Linked DNA regions of Tribolium castaneum. The protein of the gene in region 2 purifies or fractionates together with the protein of the main gene of each other region. This does not show direct contact. Links are inferred from orthologs where the notes say so. Each region holds a gene or a part of one and is shown on either strand. Other genes may lie near its edges.

Evidence for each region.
Region 1: the proteins of Bet1 (region 2) and Membrin purify together in Homo sapiens (affinity purification with mass spectrometry; 3 studies listed by BioGRID and IntAct, with this or other methods). This does not show direct contact. The link is inferred for Tribolium castaneum from reciprocal best matches to the Homo sapiens genes BET1 and GOSR2.
Region 3: the proteins of Bet1 (region 2) and Gos28 purify together in Homo sapiens (affinity purification with mass spectrometry; 3 studies listed by BioGRID and IntAct, with this or other methods). This does not show direct contact. The link is inferred for Tribolium castaneum from reciprocal best matches to the Homo sapiens genes BET1 and GOSR1.

Annotation. Positions count from the first base shown.
Region 1 is NC_087398.1:4,981,169-4,983,967, reverse strand, and holds Membrin (probable Golgi SNAP receptor complex member 2), read right to left. Parts: upstream 1,566-2,799; 5' UTR 1,413-1,565; coding exon 1,279-1,412; intron 1,232-1,278; coding exon 730-1,231; 3' UTR 662-729; downstream 1-661. Other genes in the region: ubiquitin carboxyl-terminal hydrolase CYLD, read left to right, coding at 1-91; gastrula zinc finger protein XlCGF26.1-like, read left to right, coding at 1,809-2,799. UniProt on the Homo sapiens protein: Involved in transport of proteins from the cis/medial-Golgi to the trans-Golgi network.
Region 2 is NC_087395.1:4,198,430-4,201,090, forward strand, and holds Bet1 (BET1 homolog), read right to left. Parts: upstream 1,204-2,661; 5' UTR 1,053-1,203; coding exon 720-1,052; 3' UTR 652-719; downstream 1-651. Other genes in the region: tripartite motif-containing protein 2, read left to right, coding at 2,300-2,352. UniProt on the Homo sapiens protein: Required for vesicular transport from the ER to the Golgi complex. Functions as a SNARE involved in the docking process of ER-derived vesicles with the cis-Golgi membrane.
Region 3 is NC_087401.1:15,407,910-15,411,101, reverse strand, and holds Gos28 (Golgi SNAP receptor complex member 1), read right to left. Parts: upstream 1,767-3,192; 5' UTR 1,685-1,766; coding exon 1,660-1,684; intron 1,550-1,659; coding exon 1,368-1,549; intron 1,322-1,367; coding exon 1,080-1,321; intron 862-1,079; coding exon 624-861; 3' UTR 519-623; downstream 1-518. Other genes in the region: ankyrin repeat domain-containing protein 50, read right to left, coding at 2,336-2,507, 2,557-2,737, 2,811-3,192. UniProt on the Homo sapiens protein: Involved in transport from the ER to the Golgi apparatus as well as in intra-Golgi transport. It belongs to a super-family of proteins called t-SNAREs or soluble NSF (N-ethylmaleimide-sensitive factor) attachment protein receptor.

The DNA.
Region 1 (2,799 bases), on a different chromosome or scaffold from region 2:
AGACCGTCACCTACCCGAACACGCGCGCAGGTTGTTATGTGATGCTTATATTTGCATGTACCAAAGTTCTGACGTCATGATGTACAGATAGATTTTTTCTTTACGACTGATATTTTTAGAATATTTATTTCTGTTTAATGTTGTATAAAGTATAGAAATTTTGATTTAATTTGTTACGAAAACACTTAACCTGATTTAAGAATTAAAATATAATGCTTGTTATATTCAGTATTGTTGTTAACTATATCACTTTGTTATTCTTCCCGGAACTGTAGGAACTATCATGACAATGTGCCTTGCCTGCTGATCTAACAATCTTCTATTTCAAGTATACGTTTGAATCGTATGTCGGCTTCATTTTTCACAAATACAAAGTGATATGGGCATTTATTAAATTTTAAAAGCGATCCCGTTGGATCGGTACGATTTTTCCCTGTCTATAAATTAACTAGAAATCGTACTGGCTCAAATAACCCCACCACATAAATAGTTCACACTTATTAATTTAAAACTATAAAATAGACTTATCGAGTATTTTTTGTAGAAAATTTATTTTTATTGTTAAAGAACGGAAAGAGGGACGAAATAAATTCTAGCAATCAAACAACCACGCATTTTCTTTACCCTTCACTGCCAATCCCAAATATTTAACCCAACCAAAACGAATTAATTTTTTATTAATAAATCAAGATTACATAATTCACAACAACCAGGGAATGTGTCACCTCTCTATGTAAAATACACAATTACAAAAACAATCACTAAAAGCGTAATCACGATTCCCAGTATCAGTATATATTTGTCTTCACCGGCCCTTTTCTCGATTAGTCTCATTGTGTGGTTACTCAGCCCCAGCGTATTAGCCATGTCCATAATGCGACGATGTGCCCCCTTCAAAGTCAGTCTTTGCGACCTAAGCGACTCTAACGCATTAACCCCCGTGTGTAGCATTTCGTCTACACCTCTATGAGAATTCTGTAATGAATTCTGGTGCTGTAACGCATAGTCTATATTGATGGTCGTCAGATCGGGATTAGGGGCAAACCGGCGATTCAACAATTGTTCCCTTTCATTAATCGCAGCCTCTCGTCGTGCCCTTTTCTGTCTAGAGGCCACTAGGGCCGCCTGAAGGTGCCTTGCATCATACTTCAACTGATCGCAGCGCATTTTCGCGTTAGGTCTTTGGTCGATCGGGACTTTATATAAATAAACATCGAGTTTTTCACAATTACTGCAATAATTTATTAATTGGGTGACGAGGTAAATTGCGATTTTTACCTATTAATTGTGGTAATCTTCTCTTGAATGTCAGCTTCGATTTCGAGGACGTTGCCAGAGTTTTGCTCCAAAGCTTGAAAGCTTTGTTGCGTCTGTTGAATTAATTTGTTGGTCTGATGGTAAAGTGTATCCATGATTGGGGGCAAAGCCAAGACACATTGCAAATTTAAATTTTGATGATGTTACAGCATGTTGTTGACGTTTGCGTCATCTGTCACTGACTGATTGTCAATTTTGGGGATTTTGCGACGTGGGATTGGCACCGTCCATTTCAATTTTCCGACTTTTCTCGGCATTTTCCCCACTTTTGGGACAACCGGAATTGTTAATTACTTCCAAAATGTTAAAGACACGAACTTTAGGCTTTCGCTAATTAATTAGTCTGTGTCTTTGGGAGACAAAAATGCGTAAATGTCACTATTGTGTCAAACGGCCATGTTTGTTTATTATTGACCAAAAAAGTAATGTAAAGTTTGCCGGATTTTTTCCGATTTTTCAGCCGGGGGGCCGTTTTTGCTCGATATAATGTCATGGAGGGTCGCTGCCGTCTGTGCGCCGAGTTCGGCACCGATCATCTAAACAGTCTCGATGATCTCGATCTCATTTTACGCATTTTTCAACTCTTTCAAGTCCGAATCACCTCCGAGGACAAACTCCCAACAACAATCTGCCAATTATGCGCCGAAACGGTGAAACAAACATGGGAGTTCAATCAACACATCCAGAAATCGCAAGAGATCCTCCAGGACATCGTCAACACAGAACTGCAAGCAGCCCACCAGGAGAGCAAGCTCGATTTCACGCTCACGCTCGAAGAAAGCAAACTGAACGTGGTCGAAGTGACCACATCTTCAGCCGTTAAAACGGAAGATATCGTACTTAAGCCTTCACCAAAAGTCAAAAAAACCGGCCGTAAAAAAGAAAGTGACTCCGAGTTGAGTGACGTGGAGCTGAACGACGACGGCACCGTAACCCCCAAGGCCGAGCTCCTCGGTTGGCACTCCTATCCTTGGGCTTGCTGCGACTGCCAGCACACCTTCACCAACTCGGAGGACCTCCGGGAGCACCACGCCACCGTCCACGGGCAAGCCCCCACGTATCCTTGCGCCGACTGTCCGAAAATTTACACAAAATACAGCACTTTCCTCACGCACGTGCGCGTCCACCGCGTCAAACTGCGCTTCTGTTGCGATATTTGCGCCAAGTGGTTCCCCACAGTCCTGGCCCAGAAGAAGCACAGGAACGAGCACGGCGATGAGCGCCCCCATGCGTGCACCACGTGTGGCAAACGCTTCCGCATGCAATCCGCCCTCATGGTGCACGCGAGGTCGCATCTGCCCGCTGAATTAAAAAACAAGCACCAATGCGACCAGTGCCCCAAGAAATTCGGGACGAAACCCAACCTCATGGCTCATAAGAGAATCCATGCGGGGGTGCGGGACTACACGTGTGACCAATGCGGGAAAAGCTTCGTCCAGAAAGGGAATCTGGACAACCACCTTTTAACACATACAGCCGCCA
Region 2 (2,661 bases):
TAAATAAAGTCGTACCAGTTTTGTGAGTTTTCGAGCACCAACTCTTAATTTAATTAATAATTATGTACTTATGTAAAGTATTTACACTTAGTGAATCCCTATCTGCTAGCAAATAGAATCCTGCATCCTGGTACCTAGTATCACAAGTACAAATTTTTACTTGGTTGGTTAAAAAATCGCTCTTTTTTATTTAATCGCAAACCGGACGCATGATTTATTTGAAGATAGTATTATAATTTAGCAACAAAGGGATCCTTTATCAGTTGCCGACCTTTTTGAAGCCCCTTATTTACACTTTTGCAGCAAATGCATTCAAATATTCTAACGAAATATTTTACAATGTTACTCTGATTGGTATTTTTTCTCTAATTTCTTAAACAATTAGTTGAAGTGAATACGTGTAGTTAAGCATAAAATTTAGAATTCTTATTTAATTAGAAATCGTGATTTTCTTAGATTAGGTTGCTGGATCTGTTATATAATGCAAAGCTGATTCCTGTTTTATTATTAGTTTTTGGGACATATTTAAGTTTAAACGTGGTCAAGTTCACCTGGCATAAGTATTAGTGGTAATTTTACTTGGATGTGGCTAAAGCCATTTATGATTTAAGTTCATAATCAATATTGTTAGTTACAAAATAAAACTAAAAATGCATATCCAAATTTTATTTCAAGCCCTATAATACAAAAGCCAACACTTATATACAAAATTGTCAAAATCACCTAAACTTTAATACAATATACAACACAAAGAACACAAACAATGAGAAGAAAAATAAATACACGATGTAATAATTATGAGACCCCTTTGACAACCGCAAAACCCTATTCATAGTATTCCCCAAAAACCCCCTAGTCCTGTCCATATCGTCATCCACATCTCGCAACAATTTGTCCTGATATTTCAGCTCGTTTCCTATATCTATCGAAAGGGACTTCAGTGCACCAACCTTGTCCCTTAATTCATTAGCCATTCGGTCATTTTCCTCCTCGACTTCGTTAGAAGTTTGGGGCAGAGGCTCGTAGTAGTTTCCGGCATGGGCCCTTCGCATTTTGAACGATTCCAGCTTTAAGGTTATGCCAAACTCGTCCGGAAATTTCACTTCGGGTCTTCACCCGCTGTTTCACTGTAACTTTACAATTTCACAATGTTTTTGCAAATTTGTTAACAGGTTGACGTGTTCAATTCAATTTTTGAGGTTACTAACGTCAAGTCTAGGGAATTTGCGTCAATACCACCCACCCTCAAATAAATTGATAAACACACGTAAAGGATAAATAATAATGGAAATTGAATTAAATTTGCCTGAGGTTAACAATTTGTTGCATTCTGATTTTGTACAAGTTGGTTAGGGTGGATAATTTCAAAATTCTGGTGTTTTTCGGTGGTGGTTGTTGGTTGTAGTTTCGCGTCAGGCAACCAGTAATACAACAAAGCACACAAGAAGTAATATTTGTGGTGAACACGGGTGTGTCGCTTGCATAGAGAAAGAGGAAACATTATTTAAATTTCGCGCTATGTGCTCACCCTGGACTGTCAACAATGTCAACCCATATAAGGCATAAAGCACAATTAGCATGCGCAGTTTTGTAAAACGGTTGACAACATTGACGGTTTATTTAAAATAATGTTTTTGTGTGTCATGTGTGGTCGTGAGACTGGCTTTAGTCACAGATCAGCATGTTGTCGTTTAGGTTCTTGTGTGAAAATCGCGTTTGCCTCATCACGGAACGCAATTATTCAAGAATGGAAAGAAGTCAGGGTGTATATGCCTTCAAATTCCCCCTGTACCTTCGTAAAGTGCACTTTGAATGTTATGTGAGACTGGAAGTGTTTTATAAAACGGAAAAGTAAAGTGCTAGTTTTGTGTACTGTTAAAATTAAGTTGTGCATGAATTAAGTTGTGCATGAGAAAATTACACAATATGTTTTACTTTCGAATGTATTTTGCACTACTATAATTAATAAAACCGTTTTTTTTAAATAGTGTAAATTTGTTAGTCCCGTGTTTAGTGATAATAATTTTACAGGTTGTATATACAAACTTTGGGTATATTTATTCAATTTTTGTATAAAACCAGTAATGCAAACTAATAAGGGTACATACATAAAATACGCAATGTTCAAATTGCGCGCGGTTTTTCAATTTCCAATATGCTGGATTTAGTTTCTCACCCGACCGCACTTAGCGCTATCAGCATTAATTTGTTTCCTCAAAATAACACGGCGCTGTCACTTCTTAACCTTTATATTCTTTGGTGGTGAAAACGCCAGAATTCACGTTGTTTCGTGCTGTTTATGCTAGTTCGTGTGAAAAACCGTCGAAATAATGTAAATTCAGCCTTTTCCAGGTGAGTTTGGCACAAAAAATGTGTGTATGTTTTTGAGGTTATGTTGGTGTTTTTGTTATGATTTGCAACAACAATGCTGTTTTTTGTTAGAATAAATTAGGCTGGTGCAGCTGTGGAGGCTATAAACCAGTCATAATCTGGCCCAACACCAAAATAATCCGAGCTAAAATAAACACTTCCTGTTTCGAAATGAGAGTTCGATCGGTGGGGCTGTTGTTAGGGGTGGCGCCACTGCGGGGGTGCTTTACAGTCTAGGTCGCGAATTATTGATTCGCTCAGCTGCTCTTTGTGTTTTGCTTCGCCAACATA
Region 3 (3,192 bases), on a different chromosome or scaffold from region 2:
GTTTCCAGGTGTAAAATTGAGATCCTTGTACAATAATTGTTAGGGAGGTACTGACGTACACAAAAAAATGACTATTTTATTTTATATACCATTAATGTATAGACTCTGTAGAATGTTGTTGGTTTTCGCAATATTTTTCTAAACTGTTGCAACTAAAAACATTGCGGAAATTGTACATAATTTTTTTCACTATTATGTATTTCTTTACACTTTTTGATGTTATAACTGTATATAAGAAGATCGAGTATTTAATTGTAAAGATATAACAGTTCCTTTATGATATTTTCTAAGCCAGGGCATTACATGCAGTGGGACAGCTTCTTAATCTTTCGTTTGTTTAGGTTTTAATCTCTAAATTGTAAACTCATTAGTTCTTGGTATATTTGTAAAAGTAAACATAGATACTTGCATTTAATTTAGCAACTATCATAGAATGTAACTTTTAAAATTAGTTGCCAATAAAATATTTAATTACGCTTGGTCTGTCAATAGGATGGTGCAGGTAGGGTTTAAACAACTCTAAAAAAATCATTTTATTCATAACAAATATAAATACCGCCACTAACACTACCCTCGATTTTTGGTTAGATATTCTGATACAATAAAAATTATCACAGTTAGAGTCAATGGAAAGCGTAAAGTAGCATCAAAACGGTGCACCCTGAAACGACCAACCCTAAAATAATCGAATCCCTCCTTTTTTTAATGTTAATCCTCTGAATGAGACTATTGATGACTGGGTACCGATTTGACAAATCATTAAACCTCGTCTGCAAGCGCTTAAACGTCTGTCTCTGATTGGTCAAATGTTCCCGAGTCTCCATCGCAATGGAAATTTGCTCATTAACCAACCGCTCTGAACTAGAACCAAACCCAAGTCAAGGCTGCGCAAATCCAAAGGCTAGGAGACGAAACGACAATTTTTTTTATCGTAAACTAGTGCAAAGCTCAACTTCTGCATTTTGGCGCTCGCAGCGCCCTCACTTTGACACCGCCGAACTATCTCTTCCGGGTACGATTTTGTTTCGTCTCCTAACTCATAGTCCTCCGTAGTCGAATCCTAAGCCTACTCCACTCACCTGTGCAAGTGTTGATTCTCCTTCAAGTACATATCGCGCCTATTATTAACACCATCGCCCCTGAACGTATCACTGGACCCCCTTAACAAATCCTCCCTCTCTCGCCTGATCTCGTGCTGGGACGTAGTCTTTCGGAAATCGCGCGATAAATCGGCCAAAATATCACGGTGGCGTTGGAGGGTGTGCAGCATGGCAGCCCCCGAGACGGGCTGTTCCCCCATCCTGTCGTTAACTTGTGTTAACTGTAAGGAATTGTTATTTGGGGTGATTTTTTGGGGGCCCGCTTACTTTATTCAACAATTCCTCAATTTCGAGAGACATGGCCTCGAAAGTGTCCTCGCCTGAGAGAAGGGGCACAGCATCGGAGCTCGAATGAGCTGGGGGCGACTTGATACCGGCCCCCAGTTTACTAAACGCGACGAGTTTTAAGTCGATTTCGTTCTCTAAGTAGCGCGCGTGTTTGCGGAGGTCTGAAACAAGACAAGGGGGCCCTACCTCAAAACGCAATACCCGGCTAATATTTTACGCAATTGTAACAATTAACGTGTTTTAATTAAGGTGTAATTAATTGTTTATTTACCTTCGTATGAAAGAGCCGCCGCCATGTTGCTGCTGATTTGGAAAAAGTGCAGCCAACCGCACGGCGCATACGAGCAAATCCCCTAACTAATGTGTATGGGAAATGAGGGAACAGTGGGATAGAACAGGGGAATCACATAAAATTGCAACTTGTACACTTTTACATGTATTTATTTAAATATTTCAAGTTTAATACTGTTCTGAACATATACAGTGCACAACTTTAATAGTATAAAACTAAAGCTGTTTTATTGTAAATACAAAAAAGGCATACATTAATTGATACGTATTGAATGAAACAGCGAATTGCTTGAAGAGAAACACACACAATACCCGAAAATAACTCCAAACATACAAAAATATATTTTGCAAAATGAGATCTTACGAGAGAGAACTGAACTGAAGCCTTGAATTATTGTTACCTGTTTACTAAACTACGTCTCTATCACAACTGATTTCAGTAAACTCATCGTTGAACAAACTTAGGCCTAGAATCTGAGTTATGTCGCTACTAGATTAACCATTCGATAATCTAATAAAAAATTAAATCTTTGATATAGGTAAGACTAGGTGAGTGTTGTTAGCGTTTTAAAAACCTGTCAGGGCAACATTCAAACGAAAAAATCCCCACCGTATAGTATTGACTAGTAATTCACGCAGTGACTTAACAATTAATTTTACAATGGCGTTTCTTTCCTCCAATGAAAACTGTTCGTTTTTGTACTCGGATTCGCGCCGGACGTTGATTTCCTCAAGTTGGCGGCGGCCGTGTCCAGCCCATTCTTCACATTCGCCACCAATCGCAGCGCTGGATTCGTCACAATACCGTTACGTTTCGGCTTCTGACTGCTAACACACAATCGTCAAACACGACTACCAACCGTAGTTACAAACCCACCTAGATTTCGAATTCGACTCATTGTTCTGCTGGTCACCCTTCTTGTTTCCCACGCCGATACCGCTCGAGTTACCCAGAATGATGCGCATGTGGGTGTCGCGCGCGAAATGCGTGTCGGGCGCCTTGGCGAAGTTGTTATGCCGCAGCACCGGCTGGTAGATGTTCATAGCGCCTGTAAATTCTGAAATTTTGGCAAAGTCGGTACAGGTTCCTGTAATTTTTTACAGATTCCTGTAATTTTTGTACATACGTACCGAACATGTTAGGCGTGTCGTGAACGGGACTGAGCGGCGGCGACGCGTAGATGGGACTCTGTGGCTCGCTTTGCAGCGGCGATAGTAATTTACTCAACGGTCTCGTTTTGCCACCCCTTGTGCATTGTTGCAACTGTTGGGTGAAAGACATAGGTTGTGAGTTTTGCGAGTTGTCCCTCTGGCGGTCGCCATGCCGACTCGAGTGACTGGACCCAGTCAAGTTCGAGCTCGATTTCGAATTTGAACTGTGATTCCCCAGCGACACCATTGAGCGTCTCTGCTGGTCACACCAGTCCTGGTTTCCGGGATATAGCACAGCACACGATGGTTTAGTCTCAGCTGTCGAAGCTGATGTTATTGAGTTGGCACTACTGCTCGTATG